Schizosaccharomyces pombe: one gene and its partners. The gene in region 2 interacts genetically with the main gene of each other region. Each region holds a gene or a part of one and is shown on either strand. Other genes may lie near its edges. The genes, in order: mst2, rad2, rad57 and pnk1.

Region 1 (5,750 bases), 3.0 Mb from region 2:
GTAGTACTAATACTTAACTATAGCTAACCATTTTAAACGTTGCTGGTTATGCAATTAGAATTACACTATGGCTATCAATGTGTTTCCTGTTTCAATAATTTGGATTTTTTAAGCTCGTCGAATAAACAAAGCTGCCATAAAGTACAGCGAAGTCATCAACAAAAAAGTTATGGATTATTGTACTTTTCATGCACAGCAAAAATATTTAAAGATGTTTAAATATATATAAATATTATGAACGTAGACAATGCTTGCAAGTTTAAATAAACTTTAAAAAATCGACTTCTATAGCATTTGCCTACATATGTCACTTGTTTACGTTTTGACATTTCTCCTTATTAACCCACCATTCCACCACAATTGTAAAAATTATTATCAAATTTATATATTTCTTTACCGCTAGAATTCAATTTTACAAGAAAATTTTATCCCTTGCTTATAAAGACTCTGTGAATTAAAAAAAAGTCTCGTTTCCTTAGAAAATTTGTTTTTCCGTTGAATAAGGCGCTTTCAGTATTACTTGCCATTGGAAAGTGGTAGAATGTTTAATTAATGGTTTTTTTTTTGTTAATATTTATCTATTTAACCCAATTTTTTTCATTTAATACACCACTTCAGACGAATGGCTTCTAACCCTAATGCCGTTGAACAAGAAATTCTACAAGCTGTCAATTCGGCTCAAACTACCGATAAACGGAAAGCTCATGAGCAATCATTAGCATATCTTCCGGTGGAGGAAGAAAGAGGAGTTAATGTTGTTGGCTCAAAGATGAAACCCCGCTACATTGCTTTGACTTGTGATGATGTGACTCGTATTTTTTATATACACAGATTGAAAGTAAATGATAAAGGCGGAATGACAGTCGTGAAATCCTGGCCTTTATTTGAGTTGCAGAATATTACTGTAATTAATGATCATGATGTTACTATGACAATAAACAAGCCACATTTGTTGCGAACTCAGGACACTTCTGCTCGCGATCGATTTGTTTTTTCTGTTGCTAAAAATTATATGTACTATATGGGCAGGCCGCTTTCAGTGACTACGACTGATGGCCGCAAAGTGGACTGGGCCTATCGTAATTCCTTTGCTGATAACAAACCTAATCTCTATCCTGCAAAGAGCCTAGCTATTCCTAAAGCAAGGTCATCATTACCTGAAAATTCTTCAGAACAAGTTTCCTCATCTTTTAACTCTCGAGTCGCACATAACCGTAATTTTTCGGACGGCCCAATTGTTACCAATTTAGAAACGGATCAGCCTCGCATCGAGAAGAAGCTCACTATTGATTCTTCTCGATCAGCCAAAAAGAAGTTGAGTGTTGAAAAAGAAAGACGGTTTTCTGACAATAAGCCTTCTTCCAACGTTTCCCGGGGGACCCCATCATCTGCCCATAGTGATGTTATAGAAATTTCAAGTTCTTCTGCCATTGCAAGGACTTCAGGAGACCGAAAAGATGATGTCTTATTCGATACTTCAACTCAAAGACGAGATAATCAAACACGGGAAATGTTTATTCAAGAACAAGCTCAATTGTTTCCATCTAAACCTTCTTTACGTAAAACTACTCGTCGTGAACAAGCACCCTCATTTAACAGTGGAACGAGTTCTTCGGAAAGGGGTAAGAATAGCATCAGTGGTTCTTACGAGAAAAATACAGCTTTGGCACTAGAAGCTGGTAAGTATAATATGTCTCAAAAAGACGTGAAACTAAGCTCTTCTTTGGAGTCAAACACATTTGCTAGCGATTTTAGTAAAGTGGATCGTGATGCTACCCAGGCAGCTTTATCTTCTAGCTTAGAAACTCCTTCAGTATTAACGTCATCTTACAAGCCTTCCAGTTCGTCTAAAGTATCAGCAAAGTCTGTTTCTCGAAAACCAACAGGAGCACCGGCTATTCCTAAATTACCTCCAAAGCACCCGTCCCGTCAGCCAACTGTTCGGGCAACTCCTTCGACTGGTAAACAAATCGAACCACCAAACGACGAGCCTTCTATAGGAAATGAACTTCTTCCCCTTTTTGAAAGTTTGCGCTTTGAAAATAGAAAAACCACTTCCAAGCCAAAAGCCAAGAAAACTCTTGTTACTTCCATTCCGACTAAACCGCACCAAGCTTCTGTTGAAAAAGTTTACGATCTTAACTCAAAAATCAACCTCAAAAACATTCCGGAGCAAAGCATTTCTCGTCTTTCCACTTTGAAGTGGAATGAAGGTACAACTATAAAAGATGTATTGAAACAAACAGAATTTTCGTTTGATGGAGCTATCATAAGCAGTGTGGAAAACCTTGCTGAAGAAGAAATCGAATTGCAAAACATTAAGAGCCAACTTCAAGATTGTGCTTTAGGTTGTGAGTCTATCAATTCAACCATCAACTTATTTTCCCTAGAGTTGTCTACTGCATTAAATGGCGTCATTAATATAGAGCAACAACCAAGCCGTAGATGATACAAATGCTTCACGACAAATATCGAAAGATTAAAATACTTATTTATTTGAACTAAACGGAATCCAGATGATGAGAGTTATCTAATAGACGCTTTTGAGGTAGAGGAATAAGTATATTTTCTTTAAGTAAAAGGTTAGATATCTGCTCTTCTCCGAGATATGGCGTCCATCTTAGAAGTTTTGGATTTACTCTTTGAGGGTGTTTGATATTCCAAGCTTTATAAACATTCTCAAGTTCATCCCGTTTCAGTTGTAATACATATTTCTTTTTGAGCGGATCATACTTAAATACAGATAACGATTCCAATGTGGATATAACATCGTCGCATACCATAGATGTTGATTTGGCGATAGCATTTATGCTAATCGGTGTTGTGATTTCCAATAGAGCTTTGGCTACTCTCATTTTCCAATAGCTTCGGTACGTAACGAGGCCTAAATCTGAAAGTGGCTTTTCAGGTGATCCAAGCTTACCTTCTACCTGTGTAAGTAAATAACTAAAATCAATCAAAAAGACACCATATCCTCGGCGTTGGTAAATGGGTAATGTTAATATACAGGAAACGTTATAATCAGAAGCCGAGCGTTTCTCTTTACTGAAATATCCAATAACTTTGCATTCTTGGCCATCAAATTCAGTCAATACATAGAAAAGAAACGGTTCAACGTCATAGTACAGCATTTTTGAATGAAGAAACATCTTTGCTAGAAGACATAAATTTTGACAATATATCTAAGGAAAAACATCAATAAGTATAAAATGCATAAAAAATTACTTACCGGTTGCCGTTGACCATCAACTTCAAAAATTGATATATTCTTATCCCGATATATTTCATCTCCTGGTGGATAACTCCATGAGCATTTCATCTGATTATGTTAGTCCGTAAATTCAATTTGGATAGATTATGATCTTTTAATGTACACCTCGTTTAAACTCAAGCAATAGCGAATAACATTATGATCTTACTTGAAAAGTTGTTTACCTTGTGCCTTTGTAGTACATGATCACTGTTCATATACTTTAAACAAGATTCGCATATATATAAATTTTTTGCACAGCTATACTCCTCTGGATACGGTGATGTATACCATGGTTTTATCCGGTAAGTACCAAAATAGAGGTATCGAATGGAGGTTGGTTGTGGTGGAGGCGTTCGCAACTGTGTAGATAAAATAGGATCGGAAAATGAATAAGCCACATCCTTTGTCCTATCTGCTACTGTCTTTGCTTTTTCAAACAGCCTCACATCGTCTTGGTTGAGTCTCGTAATCGATGTGTCAGCTTGCCCTTTAGTTAATAGACCCAAAAAAGTACTTTCCGAATTTAACTCTAATAAATGTTTCTTATAAAATGGATATCTGGAGGAGTTTGTATCAAACTTTATTATTAACAAAGTCTTTGAACTGGCTGTGGATTTCAAAATAGTCGCCGGCATTATACATAAAAAAAAAAGATTGTTTATATTTACAGATCGTTCATAGTTTTCCTAATGGCCCCATTTAATCCTTTGGTCAATATAATTGAGTTGGTGGTAGTGCCCTCATTCTCTTCTTAGTTCTTGCTTTACTTCCACCTCCATCCGATCTCTGCAAAGATAACCCTTTCACTCTTGTTAAATAAAAAACTACTCATATTTTTTACTTTTGTATTCTGAAACAGTAACCATTCATAACTTCACTGTTAGCTTTTTGATTGAATGCCATTACAAACGTTGCGTATAAATACTACAAAGTCACCTTGGGTGATTCAACGATAAGTTTTACATTAGTAGTTTTAATGCCACTTTAATTATTCTCTAATTTCGACTTTATTTTCAAGTAATGTAATGATGATAAATGCAGAAATTTTTTAAATATGAACACGTAGAAAAGTAAAAAAAATATCATGTAAAGGGTGAGTACACTAAATTAAGTGTAAGAATGCAAAGGAAGCAGCATCAGAACTATATGAAATTGTTACCATAATTTTCTAATTTTAAAAAAGCAGAAGCAAAGGACAAGCTAATTCTATTCAGTAGCAAAACTGGAAAATCCTCTGAAACACTCTTGTTGTTGTCGTGTGAGAACAGTATTGACAGGTGTCAAAGTTGGACATGCACCTAATCGATCGTTAGTAATTAACCATATTTTAACAATTGTCATACTTGTAAATTCTTCATCAAAATTATTGAGGTCTCGGGGATCGTTGATAAGCGGTTTATATGATGGTTCATAAAGTTTGTTATACAAGTCATCCCAGACAATACTAGCAAAGAAAGGATGAGCCATAACCTCGTTTGCGTCTTTTGGTCCACTACCAAGTCGTTGATTTGGATCTCTTGTTAAAAGCTATTTTTTGAATTAGTTAACATATTTAGAAATTTGCATACCCCTCTCAATAACGAAACCGCATCCGCTGGCATATTAATCGGAAACAACGGTTCATCGCTTAAAATCGCATCGAATATTTCCTCTTCATCTTCACCTTTGAAAGGGGATTGACCCAGTAACATTTGATACATCAAAACGCCAAAAGCCCACCAATCAACATCCTTGGAATATTGCTGTTCTAATAAAATCTATTTTCGTTAGATAAAATAAACCAAAACAAGTTCCGCCTTACTTCTGGAGCCATGAATTCGGGGGTACCACAAAAGGTGGAAGTTGTATTGCCAAGCAACATATTTTCTTTGCAGAGTCCATAATCAGCAATTCGTATATGACCATCAGGACAAAGTAGAATATTATCCAATTTCAAATCACGGTAAGCAATTCCATTCTCATGAAAATACTTCAATGCTAAACAAACCTCAGCACCATAAAATCTATGGGGTTAATAAAAAATAAAAATAAAAATAAAAATAAAGATTGAAGTACTACCTTGCACGTTTCACGCTAAACTGTTGACGTTGAATATGAACCATAAGGTCACCACCAAGAATATATTCCATAACGAAGTAAACCCTGGTACTAGTTTGAAAGCTTGCAAAAAGATTCAGCAAGAACGGATGTTTTTCTTTATTCGCGACTTCGAAAACATGCTTTTCAGTTTTTAAACTCTCTAGTTCCTCATTCTTTAAAATGGCTTCTTTTTTCAGAACTTTGATGGCATAAAACTTTTTATTCACTTTATATTCAGCCAACATAACCTTGCCAAAATTGCCTTTCCCTAATACAGCCAAAAATGTGAAGTCGTCAAGCGTAACACGATTCTTTTTCTCTCTGCGTGGACTTTCTGGAACACTTCTATTAGCATCCTTGGAAGACGATAAGCTAGCACTGGAAGGTGGAGCAAGAACAGAAGCTGGAGTAGGAGTAG
Region 2 (4,368 bases):
GCAAAGGTTTCAGGGGCGCCTACGATAAACTTCAAGCTGTTTTCTGGCCCACTTTAAAGGTACACTTAATTTCTAAATTTTCTTTCTTAAATGGTTCTGTTGTATTGTTGCTAACATTTAAAGGCTAATTATATGGTCTGGCCCTTCTTTCAAACTGTGAACTTTTGGCTAATGCCCTTACAATACCAAATGCCATTTGCTTGTACGGTTGCTATTTTTTGGTATGTTGTTTCCAAGAGACATAAAGCATTTTTGCTCCTAGTTTTTTCGCCTTTGCTAATTTCAATTAGGAACATATTTCTTAGTTTGAAGAACGCTTCTTCAATGCAAGAATCTGGCTCACAAGAAATTGAACTATTTTAAAGATCTTTGATCCATCGTCCGAATCCACTGCTTTTCGTTTTTTGAGTTGTATCAGCCAGATTGTTTTTTGGCATATTATTACTTAGAAACGAGTTTTGTATACCATTATTAGCTTATATGATCAGAATTACCTCCTTAGACTAATTATTTTTACGTAAAAGTCATGCATTAAACAGATTTACTATTATTATAGCGTAGTATAGTTTTATCTACATGCGTCTTGCTTTTTTTAAGTTTTTTTTTTAGATTAATAACAATTACATGACTTCGTTTTCAACGCTTTTTCTTGCTTTCACCACCCTTATTTGAATCTCTTTTCCTTTTTGCTGATCCTTTGCTCTTTGTATCTACAGGTTTTTTGGGAGAAGAAGGGACTGGTTTAAAAAAGGAATCAAGACGACCCTGTGGAATTGTCTTTGAGGCTTTTTCTAGTCTATTGATCCCCAATTTAACACGATCTTCATTGAAACCTTTTTCCTTAACCAGAAATTGTATAATGCCATCTGCATCGGGACTTTTCCATTTCAACTCAATCTCTTCACCAGGAAGTACTTCTGCATCCAAAAACAGTCTTCTGGCATCTTCATAAGGCCAATCTTCCGGAATAGGATATTTTGATCGATCCGCCTCTTTGACAAAGCGATCGAGAGTCCCGTATTGCCTAATTAACTCGACGGCTCTAGCGGGGCCAACTCCCCGAATAGGTTCACAATAGTCACAACCCAAAAGAATACACAAGTCTACAAACTGCTCCACCGACATATCTAAACCATTCAATGCTTTTTCTATGTTATACTCACTAATTGGTTCCTTTCTTTGCTCACTAAATGTCAGGTGTCTCAAAAGTACAGGAGCTTGGAAGCACAATGTGTCCATGTCCTCAGAAGCAGCAGCATAAACTTTTCCTGAACGGGCTAAAGCGGCACATTGAGCTTCTGCTTCACAGGGTGCGTTAACGAAGGGAATTCCCATTAACTCTAGTAAACGTTTTGCTTCGTCATTATGTTGCCGAGTAACTTTGACCGTACGTTTGGCAAACCGATCCACCATTTCAGCTGTACCAACCTCTTTTGTCTCCTCTTGATCCTCTCGTGCTTTTTGATGTCGGGCCACACGTTTAGCTAATTCCCCTGACTTCAATGTTGGTGGTTTTCCATCAAAGACAAAGCAAGGCTTTATTCCATTATCGACAATTCGGAGTGTACGATAAAACATTCCCATTAAATGACTAGTAGTCTCGCCTTGTTCATTCATTAGCTGTTGACCATCTTGACTGCGAACTTGAATTAAAAATTGATAAAGACTCATTGACCTGTAATATACGAAATTAGCATTAATAAAGTACCTCAAGAAGACTTTATAAATCAACCCTTCGAAAAGGAAAGAATCAGTTGAATAGAGTTTGACCTATTAGTGTTTGCAACTTCAAGAACCAACAAAGTAAAGAAATGATGTAAAATACCTTGAGCAATGAATTTAACCGAGTCACTGTTAGTGAAAATTTATTCATCCTTTATTCTATATTTCGTTTGTATCATATCTTTGTCTCGAGTTAAGACATAGAGCTTTGCTCTTTAGCAATAAAAACTGTACACCATAGTGTTTAACCCATATTTACAAACAAAATCAGAAGCCATACAGTCTTTGCCAAGTCAACTGAGACTTTCGCTTTCTATTTAGTCTTTCAACTTACGCATCTATAGCCACTTTCCGTCCAAAATAATTTTTAATATCATTATGTTTGACACTGGCTGGGGCATGCTCGCTTAGTACTTGAGCCAAACCTAACCCAGATTAGTTTTAAGTAAAGGAGAGAGTAAAAGATAAACTCTTTAGCGTTAAATGTAACATACCTTTAATTCCCATCGTTTAGCAAATATACTTATTTATGTATATTACGAGATCCCGAACAACGCTTTCTCCAAAACTAGCTTAGAGCTTCTTATTAAATTTTCAATTTTTGCTAGATGTATTATACTCCTCAAAATCGAGCAGTTTTTACTTTGCTCACTCACACAAAGGTTCTTAGCTACCAGCAGTAGTATCCACGTCAAAGAGTCGATTCAGTAAATCACATGTTACTTTTCCATAAAGAATGATCGACCAAAGAATGTAAATACAAGGAAAGGGACCAGCCAATTTATACTGAAAATTCCCATGTATTATAGCTTTTAAAAAAGGATTTCTAGAAGGAACAAATTAGAAATTTTAAGATTACCAAATTGAGGTTCTTGTGGTTTTGGTGGCAGCACGGCTGTAAAATGTAAATCACCTCGCAGTTTACTACCACGAAAAGATCTCGAAAAGGTAATGTACCATCAGAAATTCTGGAAAAATGATCGATTCCTTTTTCCGGATAAGGAATAGGATGAAAAGTACATTGGAACTTTACCGAAACCCTATTGACTTGGCTAGATGTAAGTCTGTGTAACATAAGGTTGTTTTTATGAGAATAAACCAGTGGTTTTACGGTACTGAGATACCGTAGTGAGAAAGCCGCTTGAATTGCTCAACGTAATATTTTTAATAGAACAATAGCCTTGATTCATGGAACAATGTTGGATAATAGGCATTTTACCAAGAGAGTATTATTTGAAACTCGCCATATCTGCTACTGAATCGTCGAAAATATAATCGTAACCAGTTTATGGTATCGCTTGTGTAGTATGCAGACAACGAACAATATTGCAATATTCTACTAATAAGGTTCCTTTACCGACGTATTTCGTGCGGATCAAAACGTCATTCTGATCTTACGTTGGCAAATTCTAGTTAATGTCGGCTCGTTGAAAGAATATTATATGAGATGCTGCGCGCCTTGCTTACAGTATACTCATATCCCAGTGCAACCTCAATTTACCTGTGAAAGCAAGAACAATGTCTGAACAAAGCTCGCCATACTTAACATTGGCACCTGCCGATTACGAAGGAGAAGATGTCTCTAATGAAAAGGAAAAAAACAGTGTTATTCCTGATGTTATAGACTATTATAACAAAGGTAGACAATATTACCAATCGTTTGTGGTTTATAAAGCAACTGCTAATACCATTTTCCAATTTTCATATTTGTTGTATATATACATCGACCTCACTAAAGCTGATCAAACCGAAGTGTTACAATTTCTTAAAACATATGTTGAGGATGAATCGTTTGTTGGAGATGATTTTGTTATGCCAAAGTATACACTGGTTTTACCATATCGAGTGTATCGTGATCATGTAAAAAAACATGGAGATATTATAACGCCAAAGTGAAGTGCTAAATCTATTTTAATGTTTTCTTTTGTTTTTAAAGAACTTTCTGCTTGCATGAATCGCTCATTTTATAAGCAAATACCAGTTATATTGCTTCGCTTATTGTTATGATTTTTATGGATTCAAATCTAAAGAGAATTGCTAAATAGTGATTCATTAGTTAAGTTATTTATTTTTTAAAAAAAATAATAAATTCAACAAAATAAATGTAATCCTTTTTTTTTGGATCTTTTTTTCTGCTTCTTTGCTTTGCAAGTATTGAATTTTTTAAGTTTTTTGAATTTTGTAGCTTAGTAAATCGATCTGTAACCTTTTGAAAAAACAAACTTAAAAAAATACATGTTATAGTATGCACAGTGATATAATCAAAGTTGAACCTCTATTTGTTGATCCCAAATCGAGTTAAGGAAACATTCCTTAATATTACATTACTTTTCGAATTTACATTTGATTACAAAGAATGAATCTTGTTCATTGCAAAAAGGGTTCAAAATGTTATTCGAGTTTTATTCTCGATTATTGATGCACTAGGTTTGAATGTATTATGTTTAGTCTTACAAAAAAAAAAATAAGAATAAAAAAAAAAATAAATTCAGGGTTGGCTCCTAAAATTAGGTATGGTTTTCAAACTTTTATGCGATAAACTTATAATACTTTCCTAATTTCACACAGTACGCTTTATAGTTCAAATCTTCAATTTATTAAAGGACTAGTTTTACGTGATAAATGTTTACATCTAGACAACTCAAA
Region 3 (3,855 bases), 3.3 Mb from region 2:
TGTATTGGCTAAAGTGTCAACCGTATTGATTCGATCAATTGGAACTGACATTTTTGTGTTCTATTTTTGTAACGATTATGTTATAAAAGAATGTTCATTTTTTATTTACAAGATATCACCAATGCATACTTGGCTTTTGGTAAAAATGTTAGGTGCAAATTTCTAAAGGATCGCCAATAGCGGAAGCTATCGGAAAGGTCTTACAAAATCTTTTACGCGCAATAGTAAAAACAGGTAGAAAAAGCCATTCGTCGGTTAAGAGAGCTCTTTGGGCATTCTTTGTTACGTGTAAAACTTTTTATTGTATTTTTTTCCATTTCAATACCCAACTGGTATATCCAAAATTCAGTCCACTAAAGTATGTCGGATTCTAATAAAAATGCACTACCATCATAGATCAACAAAATATATATTTAATAGTGACAGAGGTAATATAAATATAAAGATAAATAAGTACACTTATATATGTAACAGTTACTCAAAGCATTACTTTTCTTTCTGCGAATGATTGATAAGCGACAGTCGATTAAACAAAGTTAGGGCAATTCATAAACCGGTTTTATTATATTATATATAAAATTTTTACAAAAATGCTAGCACGAATATATCCCAACCGATCCTATGCATATTCGTACGTCAAGCCTTGGAGAATTTGGTGAATAAACAACCCGAAAGATTCTCCCCGAATTATTGGTGGCAGAGTCGGTTTTCTTAATTAATGCTAATCTCGTACTGATGTTATTAGTCCAAACGAGACCAAGAGATGGTATTTTGGGATTTGGATCTGTGTCATCCCATCCCGAAAACCATTGCGATTGATAATCTAAACTAAACAACCCAATAGCATCATAATCTCTAGGAATTCTATCGCTAACTTGGTTAGCTATGACAACAGCAGCTTCATGTTGATGAGCTAAAGTGCGTAGAGTCATAGCTAACTTTCCCAATTGATTTCCACGTTTGGCAATATTATCTAAATCTCTAAAATGACTTTTGGATCGGTTGTAACGGAGCTCAGCTCTGTAGTTGGAGGCGACACTATCCAATATAACCAACCCAATTTTATCCCGATTGAATAAAATCGGCAGTTGATACTGAATGATATGTTCTTGAGATTCCAGATCTGGGCATAATATAGTATACACCCTATCTCCTGGATTTTTTATAATTATGTCTTTCTTATCAGCTTTGGGATACCTTTCTGGTAAATAACGCGCCAGTTCAAATAATCGTTTTGTTTCAAGACCGGACTCTGTAGAAATGAAGACAGCTGCTTTGTTCATTCCTCCTAAACTGAGAGGTAGTTGAACCATTAAACAAAGCTGCATACAAAACTGTGACTTCCCTGAACCGCTTTCACCACATATTTCAGTTAACTGTCCTACTGGTATACCTCCATGTAGAGTTTCATCCAACTTTACATCGCCAGTTGTCAAATATTTCGAAGTGACTTTGGAAGCAGAACATCTTACTGGTTGAAGAAGGAGGGATATCTGCTCAATTAACTGTAATAACTCACTTTGACTACAATGTGTGCGTCTTTCTAGCTCAGTAATATCCAGCGTTAACAAATCAACCGTGCTTACTTCTCCTAAAGCTGTCAGTAATTCCGTCTTTTAAGATCCCGGTACAAAAACCCAATATTTTTTTTTTATGTGCAAGCTTATTGAACTACTAAACGCTTACCTAATTCAAATGCTGAAGCAATTTTCTCATCAAAGTAGAAATTGTCAACATAATTCGAAATATCCATCCATATAGTAGAAAGAAAGAAGATTTTTAATTGTAAATATGATATGTATAGTTTTTACTCATAAAGATAAATGAAAATTATATCCACACCATAGAATATTCGAAAGTTGATAGTTTTATATAATGAACAGCTTTGTATCCTACGATTGAATTAAATTCTCACGATTATTTAGAAGTAATAGCACGAACTTCTAACCCACTTTTTCGCAGAAAGAAACGGTAATTTATGTACCACTATAGAAGTGGTGAGTCGAAGATGTTGTACGCGAATTACAACTGACCTGCCAATACCTCTATGTTTAGTAATTATAATCCTTATGAGAAGAAGCCCCGCAATCGACGAATATTTATATGAACATTGGTTTTTATAGAACATTAGCATAGTAACCGCTTACACTTATTTTTTTAACATCTTCAAACCATACATCTATGAAAAACCCCACGTAATGATACACATACTTGCCTAACCACCATTCCTTAATTGATAATTAAGTTATCAAGATATGTGAAATTATATAAGCAGCATATCCAAATGTGTATTGCTCATTAATTGTTAGGCATTAAAATTCGTAGTATGGTTGAGCAAACGAAGTATAAGAAATGATGTTTTACCAATCAACCGACGATAATTCGCTCAGTTTACCAGCTACCAACAAATTTCTTAGTTTATGAATGCTTGGTTCAACATGAAGTAATACTAAATAGAACTTTGTTGAGATTTCTCAATAACAGACAAAATATACATGATACATTTTTCATCTCATGAAACTTCAACTGTACAAAGAATTAGGTAATAGATAAATAACGTACCCTAACGCTCGCAGATTGCACTACGGAGGCAGCTGAAATTCGAAGCAAGGGCAACTGTTTAAAAATTGAGTATTGTAATTGCTTTTGTCAACAAATCAGAATTCTTTGATAAGTTATCTGGCTTTATTAAAAATTAAAAGTTGCTCAACATAGTATTCTTGTCGCCTCAAAAATAATGGGCTTATAGTATCCTAAAATATGCCTTAAATTTTGAATTTTGAATTTTTTTTTTTTCAGTTTAACTACGGATCACGATTACTTCTTGTTTTAAAATGTATGCCAATTCAAGAAAAAGAAGCAATGTCGATGTTCATCGGCACCCTTATGTAGTTTATGGCTCCCCTTTTGATCTTGAGCCGTCCAGAATTAATCAAGGAGTTCCTGTTTGGAAACAAGAAGCCAGGGATGAGCGTAATAGAAAGAGATTTCATGGTGCATTTACTGGTGGATTTTCTGCTGGCTATTTTAATACGGTTGGTTCAAAAGAGGGTTGGCAACCTAAATCTTGGAAAAGTTCAAGGAATGAAAACAAAAGTGTGCATGGAATGACTATTGACGATATTATGGACGAGGAAGATCGTGCTGACCAAGAGCTTAGTAAAGTTTATACTTCGAAAATAAATACGATTGATACATCTATACCAATTGATGATCCTCTACTTAGAGAATTCTCAAATAGGGACGATAGCATTGGCGAAAAAATGTTAAAAAATCTTGGATGGAACGGTCATGATTTTGTTATATCTCCATTTCAAGGGTATTATGATGACACTAAGTTAACCAACCAAGCTTATCACGGTATCGGGTATCAAGCGGACGATGTTTTTCAGCTGGAAAGAAAACCAGTTGGAATGGCAAAAAATCTGCGCGGTGGATTTGGATCAGGTGTTTTAAATGATGATGGGATAGAAGATCAAGATATATACGACCTCGGTGCTCCAAAAATGCGGTATGATAAATCTATCAACATTACAAAAAAAGTCGCTTCTCCATTTACACCCGTTAAGCATACCTTTCTGTCAAAAAAAGACAGAAGCAAAGGGAAAAGCATAATCAAATCGCAAAATTGCTCAGATGGTCTACCTCCCCTTCCAGGATTTGTAGTGGTATTTAATTTACAATCACCTTTTCAAAATAATTGGTTTCCTCCTCCTACAATACCTGAGGGTTGGGAGCCAAAACTTTTTACAAATTCTCAAGGATTTTCACAAAAAAAAGCCCAAACTTCAAATGAGCGCTTACCACTTTTTGCTGAGAAAAGTGAAACAAATTCCAACGGTGAAGCAAGTTTAC
Region 4 (5,826 bases), 3.3 Mb from region 2:
AAACGGAAGGGTCATTGGCAACAGATCCAGTGACTGAAACATTGACCAAAGAAAAGTCAGACTTGGCATCAGTCTTACCGGTAATAAGGCGCTCCCAAGCTTCATTGCACTCACGAACAACTTCTTCAGCATACTTACGGTTCTTGCATTCACCACTGAAAGCAAAGGAATTTTCAGGCTTGCCATCGGGGATCTTGTAAATGCGGAACCACTCGTTAGTAGCACGGATTAAGCCAGGCATATGACGTTCAACATCCTCAATATCATTAAGCTTAGGAGCTAAAGGGTCATTAACGTCGATGACAATAACCTTCCAGTCAGTCTCACCCTCGTCAAGAAGGGCCATAACACCCAAGACCTTAACTTGCTTGACTTGGCCGGTGTAGCCACGAGCTTCACCGATCTCACAAACATCGAGAGGATCGCTATCACCCTTGGCCTTGGTTTCAGGATGAACAACATTAGGATCCTCATAGGTTTGAGGAAAAGCACCGTAGTTCCAAATGTAACCGTGGTGAGGAAAGCAGTTACGAACGAAACGAAGCTTACCCTTCTTAGTATCTTGCTTGATAGGGTTCAAGGTAGCTTCCTTGGTAATTTCAAGCTTAGCCTGAGTCCAACGAGGGATCTCAACGACCATGTTCAAGATGGTCTTCTCAGCATTGGCATACAAGGGGATATCGTGCCAAGAAGAGATAGGAGTACCATTTTTCTCAACATAGACTTGGTAGTCCAATGTGTTCAAAGCGCCAACTTCACGGGTAGTGTATTCACTCATGACTGAAAAGTGTTTTTGGTTAAGTACAGGTTGCAATGTGCACTAATTCGCAACATCTGCTACAAAATTTGTAACTCAATGTATACAAAAAATCTTATATTAATTTATAAAATTTTCTAAGGAACAGGTTTATATTTTTAATATCGCATGTTTTTATTTTATACAGCATAAAGATGGATTTGTGAATCTTACATAGGGTAATACTGTTATAAAGTTACTTTCTTTAGCAATACTTTATTAAATGATTGATAGTAAAGGAGATTTCCACAACATGATAAAAATTTAGCACAAATAAATTATTAAAATTAAATTGTTTTACGAGAATTTATCAATTTTTTATATTAAACACAATCAAAGATATTTATTAGCCTTGTATGCAGGTTTCTTTTCTGTCGATATGGATCTTGTGGAATACTGATTTTGCGATCAGTAAATTCTTGGCTGATGCAGTAGAAGCCATAATGTTTATATAAAAATATACGAAATATTTAAATTAATTAATTATGGAAATTTTTGTTTTTAAATTCCAGATCAGCTACTAAAAAAGATAAATGACAAACGAAAAAATAATGCAAAAAAAAGCTCATACATAAAAACAAAATATTGCCGATGTCCTTCATTTTTTGTTTAAAAATAAACGGTTTAATTTTAAACGATACCAAAAAAAAAAAACTAATGTTCGTAAATAACGAGATATGCAATTGTTAATGAATAAGATGTAGGTCTCAAATATGTTATTTGTGAAATCTTTGAATGGTTGCCAAATAATAAATTAGACGAATAAATTAAAGAATTTTCTTGTTATTTATTGTCTAAATTTCTTCGAATAAGAATTATTTTCAAGTCAGTAAACATATTAAATCTTCGATTAAGGACTATATGATATAATATATCTTCTCACTAATTGTTGTATATGAGGCATTTTATGTAATTGATCAAAAACAATTGAAAATTCAATAGAGCGAAAAATAAAATTTTCATCTGTTATCCATTTTTAAGTATGTTATTGAAACCACCCATTTTCATTGCTATGCAATTATAATATAGCTAACTCAATTACCAAGTCCCATTTAGTATTTCGTCAATCGCGATGTCGTCGAAAAAAAGAAAGTCTCCCCCCCAGGAATCTTTAACTTCATATTTTGAAAAATCGTCTAAATCCTCAAAAAAGTACGGCTCTCAAAACAAAGATTCTGATTCATCCTCGACATGCCTTCAACAGAAAATAGAAATTCAATGGAGCATCACCGATTCATTATACATAGCAAAGTATGGAAAACTAAAAAAGACTAAAAAATTTATTGCATTTGATTTAGATGGAACGCTCATAAAAACTAAATCTGGTAGAGTATTTTCAAAAGATGCAGCTGACTGGACCTGGTGGCATCCAAGCGTTGTCCCAAAATTGAAGGCTTTATACCAAGACAATTATTCTCTTGTTATTTTCAGTAATCAAAACGGAATTCCAAGAAAACCTTCTGCCGGACATACCTTTCAGATGAAGATTCGTGCTATTTTTGAGTCATTAGATCTACCTATTGTATTGTATGCTGCCATCTTGAAAGATAAGTTTAGAAAACCATTGACAGGAATGTGGAATTCCTTTTTAAAAGACGTGAACCGTTCAATTGGTGAGTTGACGCTTGTAATTTATCAAGGCCTATTAACATTTTTCACCCTTTAGATTTATCTTTCATCAAATACGTAGGTGATGCTGCAGGCCGTCCGGGTGATCATAATTCAACTGATTTAAAGTTTGCTGAAAACATTGGGATTAAATTTGAGACGCCCGAGCAATTTTTCTTGGGGCATTCATTTGTGCCTCCAAACTTTGAATCATTTCATCCAAAGAATTACCTTGTAAGAAATTCTTCTTCACATCCATACCATTTTAAAAAATCCGAGCATCAAGAAATTGTTGTTTTAGTTGGGTTTCCTTCTTCTGGGAAGAGTACTTTAGCTGAATCTCAGATTGTCACTCAAGGATACGAAAGGGTAAATCAAGACATCTTAAAAACGAAATCAAAATGCATCAAGGCTGCCATAGAGGCACTTAAAAAAGAAAAATCGGTTGTCATAGGTATGTACTCGATCATTTCAACGACTTACGCGATTTCAGACAACACAAACCCTACAATAGAATCACGAAAAATGTGGATTGACATAGCCCAAGAATTTGAGATCCCTATACGCTGCATTCATCTTCAGTCATCTGAGGAACTTGCCAGACACAACAACGTTTTCCGTTACATTCACCATAACGTAAGTTACCTGTTGGAGCATTAGAAAGACTTAGAAGAATTCCTAACCAATTCTAGCAAAAACAACTTCCCGAGATAGCGTTTAATTCTTTCAAATCTCGTTTTCAAATGCCAACAGTAGAAGAAGGTTTTACAAATGTTGAAGAAGTTCCTTTTAAATGCCTTAAAGACTATGAAGATACATGGAATTATTGGTACGAATAATACGAATGATATCTAAGAAATTATTAAATTGCATTAATTTCAAAAATATATAGTTATTGATCCCACTAAAACCAAACGTTTATAAAAATTATGACTAGCACACTTAACACCGAAATTTATCTTCAAAGCTTTAGCTGATTTGAAGAAACAATCGGATGATATTTGTTTGAATTACTTGCAACCTTTTTGCGCTCACCTCCTTTACCAATGACCTCAACATTCGATTTTGATAATTGACGAACGACTTGTTCAGTACCGGAATTCCTTCTTTTCTCAGCCATTTGCTTACGTTTCTCAGCATGTTTTCTACGCACCCGCCTGCGGCGTGCTTGCTTTTGTTGGTGGTCCATTTCAGTCGATGAAATGGCGATACCTGACCGAGTAATAGTTTCACCTTCACGATTCTCATTAGACGGTTTATAAACTTCTTGAGGAGCCAATGCCATAGTGTCAGAGGCAGCAGTTGGCTGAACGTCCTCCATTGCTAAAGTGGGTGCATTAGAAACAATTTCAACAGTAGACTCAGGAGGAGGGGGAACATAATGCCAAGAAGCAAGAGAATCTAAAGTGCGGCTGACTTCCGAAAACAATGCCTTGATTTCTTCATGTTCTTTTTCTTTCTTTTTATCAGCTTCACTCTTATATGTGTCGGCGTTGCTCTTTTTAAGGAATTCTTCTTCATATTCTTCTGCTAAAGAACGCTGAGACTTATTTTCGTTTAACTCGAATAATTCGCTTGGTCGAAATTCAGTAACAGCAACTGGCGCGCGTTTAGGTACATCATCAAATGTTTTGGAAATAATTCGGTTTTTAATTAAATCTTCTAATGTCTCAGTAGTCTCTTCCGTTTGTACAGGGACAGGTTTAGCACCAGTTTCAAATTCCAAATCAACGTCTAACAGTGAATTAGAAGGTCGTCCTTTAGACGTTGCCTCCCCCATCATGGTCCAGGACTTCTTGGCAACGTTTTCAGCCTCGAGCTCACGAATTTGCTGAGTCAAACGGGCTTTATCGCGCTCATAAGAAGATAATTGATCAGCTGAAACATCGTCTTCTTCGTCACTAGCAAATAAATCTTTCTTCACTCGATCAAAGGTAGCATACTCATTGTCAGAGCTCTCATTATTTTCTTCAATAACATTTTGTTGCACATCATTTTTGAAATCCGGTTTACTTGTTCTTTTTCTTTTGGATTCGGCCTTTTTCTTTTTTAGTTCACGGCGACCGGCCGCTGTTTTTGGACCAAAAAAATCTTCGTACATAATGGAGTCAGCCTGAGGACCATTTGATTCATCTTCAGAGTCTTCCATATTCTCATCGGGATCCATTAACAAGTCAATACCGTCATCTTCATCGCCGAGGACACCCTCTTCGACTGCTTCCTCTTCTAAAGCTAAGGTTTGCTTGTTAAAATTATCAATATCAAAAAAACCATCATTAAGTCCAAATGCGTCTTTTTTCTGTTCGATTTGTTGTCCTTCTTCATTCATAATTTCAGCTTCATCTCCTGAAACATCTTCGGCAGAACTTTCGTCGACATCTTCTAGATTTTCTGGACCAGAGAACCCTAAAAATTCATCATCAGCATCATCCCGATTGTTCATTTCACTATTGTCAGAGAGTTCCTGATGACTTGTTTCATCATCCTCATCCTGGAAAGAAGTAATGCTATCTTCTTCTTCGTCTTCGTTTTCAACATCAACTTGAGGGAGATCATCTAATGCATACTTGGCAGCTAATGCTAGTTGGTTATATATTTGCCAATTATCTAATCCTTTTGTGACAATTGTTTGGATGGGACTTGTAGATGGGATTTTTATATTTGAGAAAACCTCAATAGCTTTTTCAACCAATTGCTTTGAATCCTCTTTATTCGGGAACAAAAAGAGTGTTGGCTCGGAATTTATAAGTTCAGTCATATCAAATCTTTTTTTTTTTTTAAATCTCACAAAACTTTGACTAAATATCTTGGAAGTATTCCAAGTACGAAACAAATAAATACCAATTGAGCTTAAATATTACACACCAAACCTTTTGCAAAGTACTTGCAACTCCTTTTTCCAAAATAATCAAAAAGACGTATGTTTTTTGTTTTAGATGTTTTTTCTTTTTTGTAATGTAGTAAAATTTTAGTAAGTATGGGCATCAACAATTTACTTAGTGAAGCGTTGCGTACTATATTATATAAGAAGGGTAGGGTTTGTGACTGTTTTGGACATAAAGCTAAGTTCACCTAAATCCAACACACAGTTCGCCGCAACCTCTATACTACAAAATGGGAAAACCCGCAGGATTGAACGCCGCTCGTAAGCTTCGCAATCATCGCCGTGAGGAGCGTTGGGCCGATGCTCATTACAAGAAGCGCTTATTGGGAACCGCTTACAAGTCATCACCTTTCGGTGGATCGTCTCATGCTAAGGGTATCGTTGTCGAAAAGATTGGTGTAGAAGCTAAGCAACCTAACTCTGCTATTCGTAAATGTGTTCGTGTTCAGTTGATCAAGAATGGTAAGAAAGTTACCGCTTTCGTTCCCCACGATGGTTGTCTCAACTTCGTTGATGAAAACGACGAAGTTCTTCTTTC

What was found.
Region 1: mutations in rad2 (region 2) and mst2 together harm fitness more than expected from each alone (negative genetic interaction), as found in Schizosaccharomyces pombe (2 studies listed by BioGRID).
Region 3: mutations in rad2 (region 2) and rad57 together harm fitness more than expected from each alone (negative genetic interaction), as found in Schizosaccharomyces pombe (4 studies listed by BioGRID, with this or other methods).
Region 4: mutations in rad2 (region 2) and pnk1 together harm fitness more than expected from each alone (negative genetic interaction), as found in Schizosaccharomyces pombe (3 studies listed by BioGRID, with this or other methods).

The regions. Positions count from the first base shown.
Region 1 is NC_003424.3:2,362,946-2,368,695, forward strand, and holds mst2 (histone acetyltransferase Mst2), read right to left. Parts: upstream 3,990-5,750; 5' UTR 3,889-3,989; coding exon 3,436-3,888; exon of another isoform or gene 3,320-3,435; coding exon 3,230-3,319; exon of another isoform or gene 3,183-3,229; coding exon 2,502-3,182; 3' UTR 2,450-2,501; coding exon of another isoform or gene 623-2,449; 3' UTR 554-622; downstream 1-553. Other genes in the region: exocyst complex subunit Sec3, read left to right, coding at 623-2,449; protein kinase C (PKC)-like Pck1, read right to left, coding at 4,460-4,551, 4,597-4,780, 4,822-5,010, 5,055-5,256, 5,312-5,750. UniProt on the Schizosaccharomyces pombe protein: Component of the mst2 complex which is a highly specific H3 lysine 14 (H3K14) acetyltransferase that functions together with gcn5 to regulate global levels of H3K14 acetylation (H3K14ac), critical for DNA damage checkpoint activation.
Region 2 is NC_003424.3:5,389,033-5,393,400, forward strand, and holds rad2 (FEN-1 endonuclease Rad2), read right to left. Parts: upstream 2,391-4,368; 5' UTR 2,230-2,390; coding exon 2,217-2,229; intron 2,148-2,216; coding exon 2,057-2,147; exon of another isoform or gene 1,880-2,056; intron 1,872-1,879; exon of another isoform or gene 1,676-1,871; coding exon 637-1,675; 3' UTR 554-636; downstream 1-553. Other genes in the region: SPOM_SPAC3G6.05 (Mpv17/PMP22 family protein 1), read left to right, coding at 1-59, 124-221, 291-363; SPOM_SPAC3G6.07 (uncharacterized protein), read left to right, coding at 3,241-3,618. UniProt on the Schizosaccharomyces pombe protein: Structure-specific nuclease with 5'-flap endonuclease and 5'-3' exonuclease activities involved in DNA replication and repair.
Region 3 is NC_003424.3:2,121,188-2,125,042, reverse strand, and holds rad57 (DNA recombination mediator, RecA family ATPase Rad57/Rhp57), read right to left. Parts: upstream 2,014-3,855; 5' UTR 1,754-2,013; coding exon 1,687-1,753; exon of another isoform or gene 1,592-1,686; coding exon 594-1,591; 3' UTR 537-593; downstream 1-536. Other genes in the region: whi2 (phosphatase activator), read right to left, coding at 1-51; gpl1 (Gpl1-Gih35-Wdr83 complex RNA-binding subunit), read left to right, coding at 2,835-3,855. UniProt on the Schizosaccharomyces pombe protein: Involved in recombination DNA repair and in the repair of gamma-ray-induced damage.
Region 4 is NC_003424.3:2,135,481-2,141,306, reverse strand, and holds pnk1 (DNA kinase/phosphatase Pnk1), read left to right. Parts: upstream 1-1,839; 5' UTR 1,840-1,868; coding exon 1,869-2,409; exon of another isoform or gene 2,410-2,432; intron 2,433-2,462; coding exon 2,463-2,858; intron 2,859-2,897; coding exon 2,898-3,040; intron 3,041-3,096; coding exon 3,097-3,243; 3' UTR 3,244-3,365; coding exon of another isoform or gene 3,366-5,162; 3' UTR 5,163-5,273; downstream 5,274-5,826. Other genes in the region: ipp1 (inorganic pyrophosphatase), read right to left, coding at 1-778; mpp10 (U3 snoRNP-associated protein Mpp1), read right to left, coding at 3,366-5,162; rps23 (40S ribosomal protein uS12), read left to right, coding at 5,519-5,826. UniProt on the Schizosaccharomyces pombe protein: Catalyzes the phosphorylation of DNA at 5'-hydroxyl termini and can dephosphorylate its 3'-phosphate termini. Has a role in the repair of breaks in single-stranded DNA.